2 linked regions of the Coturnix japonica genome follow. The protein of the gene in region 1 binds, or shares a complex with, the protein of each later gene. Links are inferred from orthologs where the notes say so. Each region holds a gene or a part of one and is shown on either strand. Other genes may lie near its edges.

Region 1 (6,360 bases):
CTTTCCAAGAGTTTAAGGGAAGAGTAAGTTCCCTTCAGGTATTGAAAGGCTGCAATGAGGTCACCCCGCAACCTTCTCCAGGCTGAACAAACCCAACTCCCTCAGCGTGTCCTCATAGGGGAGGTGCTCCAGCCCCCTGATCATCTTCGTGGCCCTTTCCAAAATCTCCATGTCTTTGCAGTAAGGAACAGGGTAAGGAAGGTAAGGTAAGAGGGTAAAGAGGCCGAGCGCAGCGCCCCGGGCTCGGAGGTTGTGGGGGGACCCGAGGCCGGGCAGGGAGCGCGAGCGGCGGCCGCTCCCGTCTCACCTCGCTTGCTGGGCCGCCCGGCCGCCCCGTCCGCAGGGCTGCCCCGCCTCGCCTTCTGCGGCTGCAGCACGGCGGGGCGATGCCGGTGGTGATGGTGTCGGCGCTCCTCGAGCGCGGCGGGCGGCGGCGGTAGACTGAGCGAGGAGAAGGCGAACAGCCCGGCGGCGGCGGCGGGCAGGCCGGGCAGAGCGGCCGGGGGCAGCGGCTCCGCCGGGCCGGGCCCAGCCAGCAGCGCTTGGTTCAGCCGGGCCCGTTTGCCTCCAGCCGTATCGCCGGGAGCCGCCCGCCGCCGCCGCCCGCCGCCCCGAGGCCGCCCGGGCCTTTCCCCTGAGGGCAGCGGGGGCGGCTCCTCCGGGGCCCGGGATACGGCGCGAACCGCAGCGACCTGCGCGGCCATTTCACTGCCTGCCTCACACACATTTAAATGGCCCGAGCGCCAGACGGCACTGCGCATGCGTCGCGCAGAGCCACCTAGGAGTTGTAGTTTGAGGAGGGGAGACGGGAAGTGTAGTCCGGCCGAGGGCGCATGCGTGGTGCAGTGACGCGCCCTGCGTTACGTCAGTGAAAAGGGCGGGAAGACAACGGTCTCTCAGGGCCGCGGTTCCAGATGAATTCCGGCCCTTTATATATATACATATATATAATATATTTTTAAAAAATAAAATTATATATATATATATATATACTTATATATATATATAATTATATATTTATTTAATTTATTTAATAATTATATATATAATTATATAACAGTTATATATATAATTATACGTATTATATTTTATATTATTATAAATAAACTTTTATTTATTTACACGGCCTTTGTCACACATCGTAAAACACCATCTAGATTAAATACACCGTCCCACAGTTTAGATATATGGCCTTCAGTGTTCCTGCCTCACAGATGGTTGTGGGGGGTTTCAGTGAGGGCCAGGCCTGCAGGGTGTTTGTTAAGCAGAAATAACAAAGAAATGTGGTTCAAATGAGGGAAAAAATGTGAAATATGAGGGAAAATGGACAGTTTGAGATGGGGATTCCCTGTTAGTGCAGGGGGTGGAACACAGGCACAGCAACATGGCGGCCATGGCCCCTCATTGAGCCTCCACACCATTGAGCATTGCTGGAATCGCTGTTTTCCTTCACAAAGCTCAAACCTGCCCTTGTAAAGTCAATACAATCCCTGATGCAACAAATCTGATCATTAGTTAGGATAAAATCAGCTCCTGGGCCTGATATCCGCCCTGTTGTGAATTGAGAGCTCAGCTGGTGGCTATGCGTCCTTCTGTTCTTCAGAGCTTTGGTTGAAGGATGTGCAAATAGTGCCTCAAATATCCAACGTATTACATGTATTCATTCTGATGGGAACCTTATTGACATGAGCCATCGCAGCGTATCGGGAGATATTCACTCCTCTGTGACACCAAATCGATCAGGTTCACCTAAATATTCCATGCTGGTGGTGGGTTTCTTGGGCCTTTTGGTTTTATAAATCGACTTGCAAAGCCTAGGGGGAAAAAATGCACCAAATTAATCATGCTATAAATATTGACTGTGTGATTTCCTGAAATAATGTTTTGTTTTCTTTTTAAAGGCTTGTCATCCCATGATTTATGATGTAGTTTACTTGAAGCAACAGCCTGTTTTCATCATGAATACGTACCAAAACTAAAGAAAGAGCTCAGCTGATGTGAAGGTGCAGATTCCGATGGTTTTATCAGTGAAGATGGGCTACAGACACCTGCAAACACAGAGTTGCACTGACACAGTTAGTGATCTTCGTAACTCCATGAAGAATTTTGAATGAAAATGAAATGAAAAGGATTTTTGCAGCCCTACAGGAGAACACGCTGCCACACATACAGCTGCAGTGCACACAAAGCACTTACTTTTTCTCACGTTTTTCAGTATTTTCAAACTCTGCAAGGAAAAAAAAGATAAGTACAAAGGTTGTGTCTACGATTCGACAGCTCGGCATCATCACTAGACTTGTTTCCTTGCTCTAAATGCTCTGGTTGTTTGCTTACCTTGCTTCTCCTGAAGCATTTTGCAGGCTCTTTTGATGATGTTTCAGAAGCTCTATTACTCAAGTCCCAAGAACTCGCTGTAGAACTTCTTGTGGGAAGCTGCAGACCTGGGAATATAAAGCAGAACATTTTCTGTGGTCATTCACGAATCCTCTCCCTTCTCTCAGTGCTTTATTGCTGCTTTTTGAAAGAAGTCCTCACTTACTTTCTTCATCAGCGAGAACGAACGACTCCGGGGTTCTTTCAGGAAGAGGGGGAGGAGAATCGGAGCAATCCAGGTTTGTCTCTGGGAAAGCAAAGACAGGAGGTTTGTGTATCTGCCTTTGAAAATGCATATATCTGTTCAATGCAAGGACTGCAGAACTCTACCCTGTATCCTCCATTGTGTTAAAGGAAACATATAACGTGCAGTAAGAGGATGTGACTTTACCTGAGCGTGGGCTCCGAAGCTTCAAACTCTGGAAACAAAAAACAAGGATAGTATATAATAAGGAAATTGACACAGTGATAGTGCTGGAGAAGAGATAAAACTGCACTAATTTACCTTACTTGGTCTCAGTCTCATTGAGTCATTAAACGTCACTGAGGGAGACACACTGCTCTGCTCCAAAGAGGTTCCAGTATTTTCATGTCTAGCTGGAAGCTGAAAATCTGAGGTGGCCAGAGGAAGTTCTCCTGGAAACAAACACTGCTCTGATCCCCCATGAAGGGCCCTCAGAGCAGATGTCAGTCCCTGCACTTACTGCTAACTGCACTTACCTGATTCATTGGCCACAATAAAGGACTCAGGAGTTCGCTCTGGCAGGGGCGGAGGATCATCATCATCTGTCTGGGGCAGGATGTCTAAAGGAGGAGATGTGAGCAGGTTACTGCATGGCACACACAGATGAGAACAGAACCTCTGGCATATGAATAGTAAGACTTGTGCACCAAATCCTGATGGAAGGTGGGATGAAACCTCCTGAGGTCCCCCCCAAGCACTTCCACTTACTCAGTGACAATGTCCTCCCAGTGCTTGGCTGGGCAGTGTGGTGGGACACAGGCCGGAGCGGTGGGGAGGTGGGCACTGTGCAAGGAGGGCCCTGCACATCCTGCCCAACAGATGGCTCTGGGGATGGTGGCTCATCTGGGGAGAGTGAAGAGAAGTAGGGGTCTTCTGCTGAACAACAGTACGGGTAGGGACATTGCCTGCAGTTCCTGTGGCCAGGGGGACAGTCTGCTACTTGGCTTGAGTGGTTCAGCTCAACAGGGAGAAATACATCCTGCTCCTTCACCTGGAAGCCTGAGCAGCAGGTATTTGGTGACTGAGAACTCCAGGTGGGCTTTGCAATCCCTCCATCACAAGCCCAGATTTCTCCTTGCTGTGGCAGCACAAAAGGTATCGATGTGGTCCGTGCCAGAGGTACTTTGCCGTGGGCCCCTCTCCTGCCTGTTCCCTGCAGCTCCTGGTCCAGCAGCAGCTGCTCAGAGGACCTGCTGCTGAGCTGCACACTGCGGTGCTTCTGAAGGGCTTCTCCTGCACTCCACATCTTGACAGCAGCTGCATGTCTGGTGCTGCTGATGTTCAGAGTGCCAACAGAGACCGCTGGTCTGATGGAAGGGCCTCTGTCCCCAGAGCTGCCCCGTGCTGCTGTGGCAGACAGGGATGTCAGCGGTGCTTCATTTTGTACCAATGGAGGAATATATTGGTGCACATCTTGGTCCTCTTGTCCCAAGCTGCAACAAAGCATGGCAGCGTGAAGTCAGAGGCATCAAGCACTCAGGGATCTGTTAGCCCATTAACAAGGCCCCGGAGCATTGCTTATAAGGGCAGATCAGTCCTCTGGGAACACAGAGCCTGCCCAGTTCAACATGGAGCTACAGGGAAGCCCTGTTTGGCTACCATTAAATGGGGAACACAGGAGGACCCTTTAGGCAGCTAGAGCAGTCCTAGTGGTGTTTTCCAACCATGGTGATTCTATGATCCCACAAGATACACAGGAAAAGTGCATCTTCCTGAAATAATAGAGGTAACTGAAAATACAAGGGACACTTGGGTGGTGACCTTACCAGGTCAGCAAACTCAGAGAATAAATATCTTCCACAGGGGTCAGCAGTGGCTTGGGTACAGGATGCCTTGTTAGAACCTGATGGAAGAAAGCGAGAGAGTGTAGAAAAAGAATGCAAAGAGCACAAACGGGCTATTTCAGGAGACAGAACTTCTGCCAACTATTTGTAATGATTAACAGAGTTTGGGAATGACAAACACCAGTTTGGAAACGTCAATTTGGCACTTTTCAGCCTTTACTTAAGAGTGGCAATTCTTAACTTCTTCATTTCTACAAGACTGCAGACAGCTACAGAGGCAACGTAACGCTTGTGTCTGCAGCCAGAGAATAAGGAGAAGCTGTTGGTGTTGGGGCTGTTCCTGTTTACGTAACTTCACATTCTCCCTCAGAAGTGCATGAGATTTGAAATACTTTGACATGGCTTTTCACAAGATGAAATGGCAGGTGAGGAACCAGGGGCCACATAAACACCTCAGTGAATTGGAGGCTTCTGTTCTAATAGAATTATGAATAAATAGGGCAAAATGTGATGTATTCCATTCTGCAATAGGAGGTTAAACCTGCTGTGCCTCAGGCCGCAAGAGGCTGCGTGTTTGTCCTAGTGGCTTTTACCTGTGAAGAAGCAGAATCTTCCTGAGCATCCAATGCTTCAATCTGTCTTTTGAAGAGCTCAATGACAGCATTGTAAACCAGCTTGTACTGCTCCTGCACTCAACAAATAAAGAGACGTGAAAACCAATACAATACAAGTCACCCCTGGTCACCTATCACCCAAATCAAACATCAGCCCCTGTGAGAAGCTGCCACTTTGTGGTCTGGTGGCAGGACAAGTTCTCAGAAGAAATAGAAGCTGCAGTTTCCACGGGGTTGAGACCAAAGCATTTGGTTTTTTTCTGTTAGCTGCTCACACAGCTCTGTTCTGCACTGAGCTTCCTCTTCAATCGCTCTCAGTTGAGAAGAGTTTCCACTTTATTTCCTAGATGGCCGTTTGTTTCACAGCATTAAGGGTTCAAAAAATGGCTCTGCAAGCATTAAACTATCACAGCTGCCTACAGAGAAGTGGTCAGAAATTCGTTTCTGCAAAATCATTCCTCTGCTCAGAAAAGGGACCTTACGGAACAACTGCACCCTCAGTTCCCAGCCCTGCAGCCATTCTGTGCTCCCTTACTGTGAGCCCTCCTGGGGAGGTGCTGAGGTTTCAGTTCTGGTGGTATTCCAGTAGCCAGCATTTACCTTGGTCTGCACTATCGAAGGCCTTTGTGTGCGCATCTCCTGGATCAGGCTGAATATACTGAAGTTCACTGGAACAATCTTGCAAGAAAGAGAAGTTATTAAAACTTAAAAATGAAAGCAGGACTCTGTAAAGTGTGGAGAGACACATACAGACAGTCAACTCGTATTGAAGACTGAAGGCCAGTGCCAACCCAAGACCTGGAAGCTGAAGTCCAAGCCAAGAGCAGCGGGAGCAGGAAGGTCTGCAACCTGCCTGCACAGATGCAATGTATGTGAGCACACGTGGTGGGGCTGACACCTACCCCATCCTTAAGCAGCTTCCAGGTGTAGTCAATGGCACAAACAACTCCTGTTCTCCCGCAGCCAGCACTGCAACAAGAGTCACAGAAGGGTTGCTAGCAGAGATCAGAGATGGGCAGGCTATATTCTCCAACAAGGGTATTGAGAAAGCCCTACAGCCTCGCATCCCACACCACAGACAGCACAGACTGCACTACCCATCCCTGTGGGGAGGCCAGGGAGGCACCGGGCACACCCTGCCCTGCATACACTCACCTGCAGTGGATGCAGATGGGGATGCTGTCATCTGGCTGGTAGCAGCGAACCTCACCAATGAGCTCCAGAATGGGGTCAATGGAAGAGGGAATGTCGTGGTCGGGCCAGTTCTGGTAGTGGAATTGGTGGATGGTGCGCACTGCCTGCGGGAGGAGAGAAGTGCTGGCAGGACACTGACGTGGCCATCAGC
Region 2 (6,360 bases), on another chromosome or scaffold:
GGCTGCTGTGAAATAAGCTATTCGCTAGAAGCATCAAGGGCCTGAGCCACTGTGACTTGATCCTTTTTTTCCCCCTTTTTGGTGTTTTAGAAGGTAATCTGTATAATAGGAATAATGATGTCATCTCTCTTTCAGACATCTTGAAATCTGCATGTGAGGAGTCTGTGTTCTTAATGCTTAGTGCAGTGGTTTGCCCTCTAATGTGATCTTACTAATGGTGTTATGCTGAGAGAGGTTGGAAGCCAGTGAGGTTTAATATCCAGGTTAAGGATGCTGGTTGTGGTTTATAACACTCTTGGTACATAGGCTGGGTCCATTCTGCAACTTGCAACACTGAAGTACAGGGATACACTATAATTTGGGGATTCAGTCCTCCCCAGCATGGAGAAGACATCAGTTAAAGCTGGTGTGTTAAACTGGAGCAGGACTCTCCAGGCGATAAGTGAGATCATGTGGAGAAGGGTTCTTAGACAAGCATCTGTCACATAGTCTGAGATCTGCTATAAAGCTTCGGTAGAGTTTATTAGAGAAATCTCTACCTACTTTCTTTCCCAGGGTGGACGTTTCACAGGAAACTTAAGTTCAGAATGCTCAGTGTTGCATATTTGGCCATCATCACCAAAATAGTTTTCCATGACTCTTTAGGAGGTTGAAATAACTCAGCACCAATTTAGGCAAGCATAATTACTTGCAAAGAATGTAATTGTTTCATCTTGGGGAGAGCACAGTCCAGTGATCTGTGCCAACAACTGGCCAATAAGTCTCTAAGCGTCCTCCTCTGAAAAAGGAAAGGAAGCTTAAAAACTCCTTCACACAATTGATGCTTTCAAGATGTTTAGATCAACATTCAGTTTTAAATCTGACACTGTGTGCAATATTTAGTTTGAAGTCTTTGTTTACCTGGGCTGTGTAGTCGTACAGTACTCTGTAGTCCTGTGACGATGTAGTTCTTTCATGTTCATTTACAAAAATGGATGCGTAGACCCCATCTGCTTTCTCTGATTGGGGGGGGGGAAGGAAAAACAGAAACAAATAGTTCAGTTGCTTATAAATGCATGGGATCTTACGCAAGAGTTCACAAATACAAGGGTCTCTGTTCTCTCTCTGTCTGGAGGTGTACGTGTATAGAAAAGCTGCTGTGAACTGTAGGTAAATTCTTGCACAAAAACTGTGTCCCATTGATTGGGGGACAGTGCCCCCATTGAGCTTTCTGGGAAGTCAGGAGCATTAGCTTCATCCAGGTTGGGAAAGATGTTTACCCTGCTAAAGCACGACCACAGAAGTGCAGAGAAGGAAGTACTGTGAGTAAACTGGTGTAAACTGTTTGCTACTGGAGATGTGAGATTCTGGCAGTTCAGTGATTCATGCAGAGGTTTTTCCTTTAAGAAAAGTGGAAAATACCGTGCTGGTGTGGTGGGTCATCAGACATTTTCCATTAGTTCACATAGTTTCCATTTAGCTGTTTGTCACAGATGGGACTTTGCTGGAGGATATTTTAAACCGGCTTGTCATTATGTAGGAAAACTGTGATTCAGGAAGAGACAGAGCTAGCCCTATTGAAAAGAACCACCTGGGTCTCTTGTGCTGTTCTAGTGCTCATGGCGTAACCACGGTGGTAAAATGGAAGTACCAAAGCCTTGCTGCTGTGGATGCTGTTGTGCTGACACAGTAGTCCAGGCTAGAGCTGCTCTCGTGTACTTCCCAAGCACATCTTTGCTTTCAGTGGGGCTGTGTGGGGAAGAGAAGGGCAGCCGTGGTGTGAGCAGTCCAACCCTTCAGGGCTGGCTAAAGATGAAGGGGAGAGCAGGCTCTAATTACATGCTCACAACCTGGTATGTCAGCCCAGGTGAAAACACTGCCTTAAGTGGTTTCCAAAATGTGATGACTGTGGTGTGCTAAATGAGCAGCAAGGTCTACTTGGGCTCCACACTATGTCTGAATGAGAGATGGACAGCCAGCAGGGCTTTTTCTGCAGTTAGAGGGAGATTATTATACCAGGCTTGAGCATAAGGTACCACCACAGATGCTGTTTACTTGGATAAAGTCGAGATCTGCTGTTAAATCCAGCATTTGATGTAATATTGTTGTCTATTTCTGGTAAGTTTTTCCTGTATGTAGTCGTTACACAGCTCTGCAAGAGACCAAATGCCTTCAGGCTGTGTGTATGTGGATGCTGCTGCATGCTGAGTTAGGCAGCTGGGGCCTGGCAGGTCCAGCTGGTGCCTGATAGCTCCAGAGAGACTGTGCTTCCTGAGCACTAAATGCAGCAAGTGGGGTAGCTGCAGCCTCATTACTGGGCATCCAAGCAGGCAAGGCAGGCCTTGCAAAGGAAATTGACCTGAGTATGTTTAAAAGCTGTTTTAAAGGAACTTTTTGATTTCCTGTAGGCAGCAATCTCAGTTCAAATGTTTCGGGTTTAAATCAATAAAAATGCTGTAAGCTGCTGCTTTCTGCATGATCAAAATACTGTTTTAAATGCCCTACTGATAAATGCCTGAGTGCACGGGTTGTGATAATGCAGTCCAAGTGTGAAATGAGATGAATATTTGTATTCATAAGGCATGAGGCAGGTGTGTTAAAGACTTCAGGGATTCCCTTGTGCTTTTTAGAGGTAGCATATCCAACGTAAGGAGAATACTATTATCTTTACTAAAACTGCATTGGTCTGAAAGCACAGTGTGCCCTTACCCAGATAGAGGTCTTGAGGTTCTTATGGCCCTAAGGTTATATAGATTATTTAGTACTTCAGACTGGGAAATCTGAGCTGAATTTGTTTTCGATCTGCTCGTTCTCTTGCCTGACATCATGTGAACGTGTGCTGTAGTTCTGCTCTGTGTTAAAGCTGGACTTAGCAAGTGATGTTAAACACATCTGGTGAATTTACTCCCTGGTGAGGCATACCTAAAGGAGGGGCTGAAGGAATGACGCTTTCAGTGTTGTTTTTGCTGCTTCCATGCAACAGTCCAGAGAATCTGCAGAACCAAGAGAAGTCAATGACAAAATGAGTGAGCAGGGCATTTCTTACAAGACTCAGCTGTCAGACTTAACCTTCCCCCTTGACCTTACATGGATGTCATCCCTTCCCATGGTCATCTGCTTTCCTTTATCTATAGATACTCTTACCTTCAGTTAAAGTAAAATCTAAGAAAAAAAAAACCTTAGAAAATAACCGAACCAGATGAACTGCTGGTCATCGCTAAATTGATGCACTAAATGCATCACACAATATTGTGTTGTGGATCCAGAGACTCATGAAACAGAATTCCAATCATCTCATTCTATCGATACGATGAGAATTCTCAGTTGTTTACAAAAGAATACAATTCCTTTAGGGAAAACCAATGCAATTCAAAATACAAAGCCTTTCTAACATACCTTTCTAGAAATAGTGAATTTAAGTGAAATACTTTTGTTTCCTTTATTTATTTATTTTTTAATCTCACCTAGTTGTTTTCTATATCACAGCTGGATTCTGGCTGGGAACTGGTGACCAGGCCAAGCGAGAAGATGGTTTAGGATATAAGTGTAGGTAGCAGTAGTATGGAGTGCTTAAGATGTACATCGAGGGTTTGATTTTTCAGCTGGTGAATGGTCAGTGATTCAGGAAAATGGATTTCTAAGCTCAATGAGTTCTCAAAAACTGAGGCTGAGCCTCTGAAGGCTGTTTGCTCCTGCTGGGCACAGCTGTATTCTAAATGGCCATACAATTGTCTTCTGTAATTGCAGAGGCTGCAATGTTAGGATTCATTATTATATAAAATCTTGTTTCCAACAGGGAACCAAATATTGTGTATAAACCTTATCAGCTCGCTAACAAGCCTGGCCCACGTTTTAAATGGGAGATCTCAGCCCCCTCTTTGTCTTTGCCATAAAATAAGACTTGCCAAACTACAAAGCTCTCCTGCTTTTAAATATGATGCCATTTCTGCCATGAATTAGCCATTTTAGTATAAAATATTTAAACCAATAGCTCTACCGTGCTGTTCCGCTGATATAACTGCATTCATATTACTATATTTACCAGCTTAAATGGATTAGAAAAAGAAAAGCACCTCCCTTATCATCACAGTTATTCCACTAAGTATTTTTTCTTTTGGTCTAGAAAGAGACAGCAGCTCTTTGTTGTTCCCAGCTGGGCATCGCAATGCACTAAGCCAGGAGGCATTGCTGAAAAGGACAGCTCTCCCCAGCCCTGGCTCCCAGCAAGGCTCACCTTTGCCCTCCCTTGCACAGAGTGCTTTTGATGCTGTGTGCCATGACTCACTAGGAAAGAGGAAATAAGTGTGAATGCTCTCTATTGCCAGCAGACTGTTTTATGAACTTGTCCTCTTGTCTCTCTTCCCACTAGGCCAAGGCAAAATGGCTCTGACTCCAGCTTTAATGGGTTTACTTCTTCTCTCGAGTTAGTTTTATTTCTATGCAGCTGTCTCTTGCTACAGTGAAAGAAGAAGTAACTATCCAGGTCCCGTTTACTGTCACAGAAACATAGACTCACAGAATGGCTTAGGTTGAAAGGGATCTTAAAGATCATCTAGTTCCAACCCCTGTGCCATCATCATACACTGAGAAGTAGTACGTCTGGGAATGAAAATTCATCACTTACCTCTTCATCATCCCACAGGTCTGGGTTGGGCTGTTGCTTCTGTTTGGTTCTCTGTCGTAGTAGTTCTCATATCCTATTGCACCTGCAGTAGGGCAACAAAAGAAAAAGGAGATGTTCAATCAGGCAAAACCTATTTCTCTCAATCAGAGTGCAGCCAACAGAATAGCAGAATAGTAACATGTTTGGGGCATCTCAGGGGGATGTAGGTGCTTGACAAAAGCCTTTCAAGTGCTTGTGTGCAGATGCCTTGTTGGTGGAAGGGCGTTCTTGTCCTGGCACAAGCACAGTCAAAGTCGTGAGGAGCCATTGCAACAACAGTGAGAGATCCTAATTCAGAATGTAGTTTAGCCCATGATTGTTTCCCCTGTTTTCTTGAAGCCCCTACTTTAAGGGGAGCAGAGCATGGTCACTGTGAGCCTGTGACTGTGCTCCTGATGCAGTTGGTGGCAATGTTTTGTTTTGTTTTGTTTTTTCCATAACATGTTGAGCTGAGAATTTCTGTTGGAGCTGGGGAAATTTCTGAAAGTCTTTGGGAGCAGCAATAGTGAGAAATGTCCTGCTCTGTGCCTGTGTGTGGCTTCTTACCTTTTGTATCTTCACCTCCACCTCCTGAGAGCTGATTTGCTTTTTACTCAGCAATTGATTGTTTTTCTTCTCTTGAACGCAGTTATGTTACAGTCCCTTCCCTCTCCCCTATGGTGTGGTTGAGGGTGAAATTGAGCTTATTTACAAATCTAGCTTTACAGATGAAATAGTTACAGATGGATTTATTTTTCATCTTACAGCTGCCAGTGCAGTAGCTTAGAGCTGGTAGTCAGAAACCTTCTCAGTGTGAAAGTCAAACAAATATGAGTCAAATCTGACTTGGAAGCCCTGATAACCTATTATCTCAGTTCTGATACCAGGTAATTAAGTAAGATTTTGAACTTAGACTAAAGGTTGTGTTGATGTTTTCATGCTGGACTAGCCAAGACCATAAACAGAGCAGGCACATACAATAGTGAGTGCAAAGAACTCCTACAACAGAGACTCATGGTATTAAAGGATTATTCTTTTTTTTTACCATTTTAAGAGTCTGTGTTTCTTACCCTTCCAGACTTTCTCCTGCTGTAGTTTTTAGCCTGTAGTTCATGACTTGACTAGGTAGAAGAGAGAGCGACAGCATCAAGAAACCAAAAGGTTGGTCAGGGTAAAGATCTACCTCTACACAATACAAAACCACACATGGGTTTTGCTGTGCAAACTCATTAACAAGAGCTGTAGAGGTACTGGGGCATCACTTCCAGAACATCACCTTCTAGAAGGTGGCAGAAAAAAACACCAAAAAGCAACAACGAAAAGAAACCAAACCAAGAATCAATTGTTTCTTTGCATTTGATAAAGCTCTCAAGTGTTTTTTCCCACCTCTTTCTTATTAGAAATGAGTCCTGACATAGCCAAGAACTGTGTGCATAAAATGACCTGGGTGACCAGAGAATGAGAGATCTCCCATAAGGAAGAGAGAGAGGGAGTGAGCCTAGCTGAGAATTACAGTTCTTTGTATGCAGAATTTTCACACCATTGCAAGGTGCATTTTCACTGTCAGAAAGGAGAACTGCAGCTTTTCCTAGGTAAATGCTCTTGTAGCAGTCAAATTTAAATCCCCTATGAGAAGAGGAATAAACTGTAGCAGCAACATGACATCCAAGCATGAGCATCGATGTATTAGTTTAATAAAAAATTCTCCAAGTCCTGATTCTTAATTGTCATGGGTGTAA

The links.
Region 2: the proteins of PTPN22 (region 1) and PSTPIP1 are in contact, whole or in part, in a crystal structure (PDB 7AAM), measured with the Homo sapiens proteins. The link is inferred for Coturnix japonica from reciprocal best matches to the Homo sapiens genes PTPN22 and PSTPIP1. Residues at the interface, in NP_057051.4 of Homo sapiens: Ser793, Lys794, Pro795, Gly797, Pro798, Arg799, Asn800, Pro801, Pro802, Trp805, Asn806; in NP_003969.2 of Homo sapiens: Thr225, Arg228, Asn229, Trp232, Asn236, Ser239, Met240, Cys242, Val243, Asp246.

The regions. Positions count from the first base shown.
Region 1 is NC_029541.1:3,781,934-3,788,293, forward strand, and holds the end of PTPN22 (tyrosine-protein phosphatase non-receptor type 22), read right to left. Parts: intron 6,314-6,360; coding exon 6,171-6,313; intron 5,985-6,170; coding exon 5,918-5,984; intron 5,694-5,917; coding exon 5,616-5,693; intron 5,088-5,615; coding exon 4,995-5,087; intron 4,461-4,994; coding exon 4,384-4,460; intron 4,051-4,383; coding exon 3,326-4,050; intron 3,178-3,325; coding exon 3,094-3,177; intron 3,010-3,093; coding exon 2,879-3,009; intron 2,793-2,878; coding exon 2,765-2,792; intron 2,621-2,764; coding exon 2,540-2,620; intron 2,442-2,539; coding exon 2,335-2,441; intron 2,228-2,334; coding exon 2,197-2,227; intron 2,049-2,196; coding exon 1,971-2,048; intron 1,815-1,970; coding exon 1,750-1,814; 3' UTR 1,083-1,749; downstream 1-1,082. Other genes in the region: RSBN1 (lysine-specific demethylase 9), read right to left, coding at 308-761. UniProt on the Homo sapiens protein: Acts as a negative regulator of T-cell receptor (TCR) signaling by direct dephosphorylation of the Src family kinases LCK and FYN, ITAMs of the TCRz/CD3 complex, as well as ZAP70, VAV, VCP and other key signaling molecules.
Region 2 is NC_029525.1:2,413,269-2,419,628, forward strand, and holds part of PSTPIP1 (proline-serine-threonine phosphatase-interacting protein 1), read right to left. Parts: intron 4,686-6,360; coding exon 4,604-4,685; intron 2,973-4,603; coding exon 2,902-2,972; intron 999-2,901; coding exon 901-998; intron 1-900. UniProt on the Homo sapiens protein: Involved in regulation of the actin cytoskeleton. May regulate WAS actin-bundling activity. Bridges the interaction between ABL1 and PTPN18 leading to ABL1 dephosphorylation.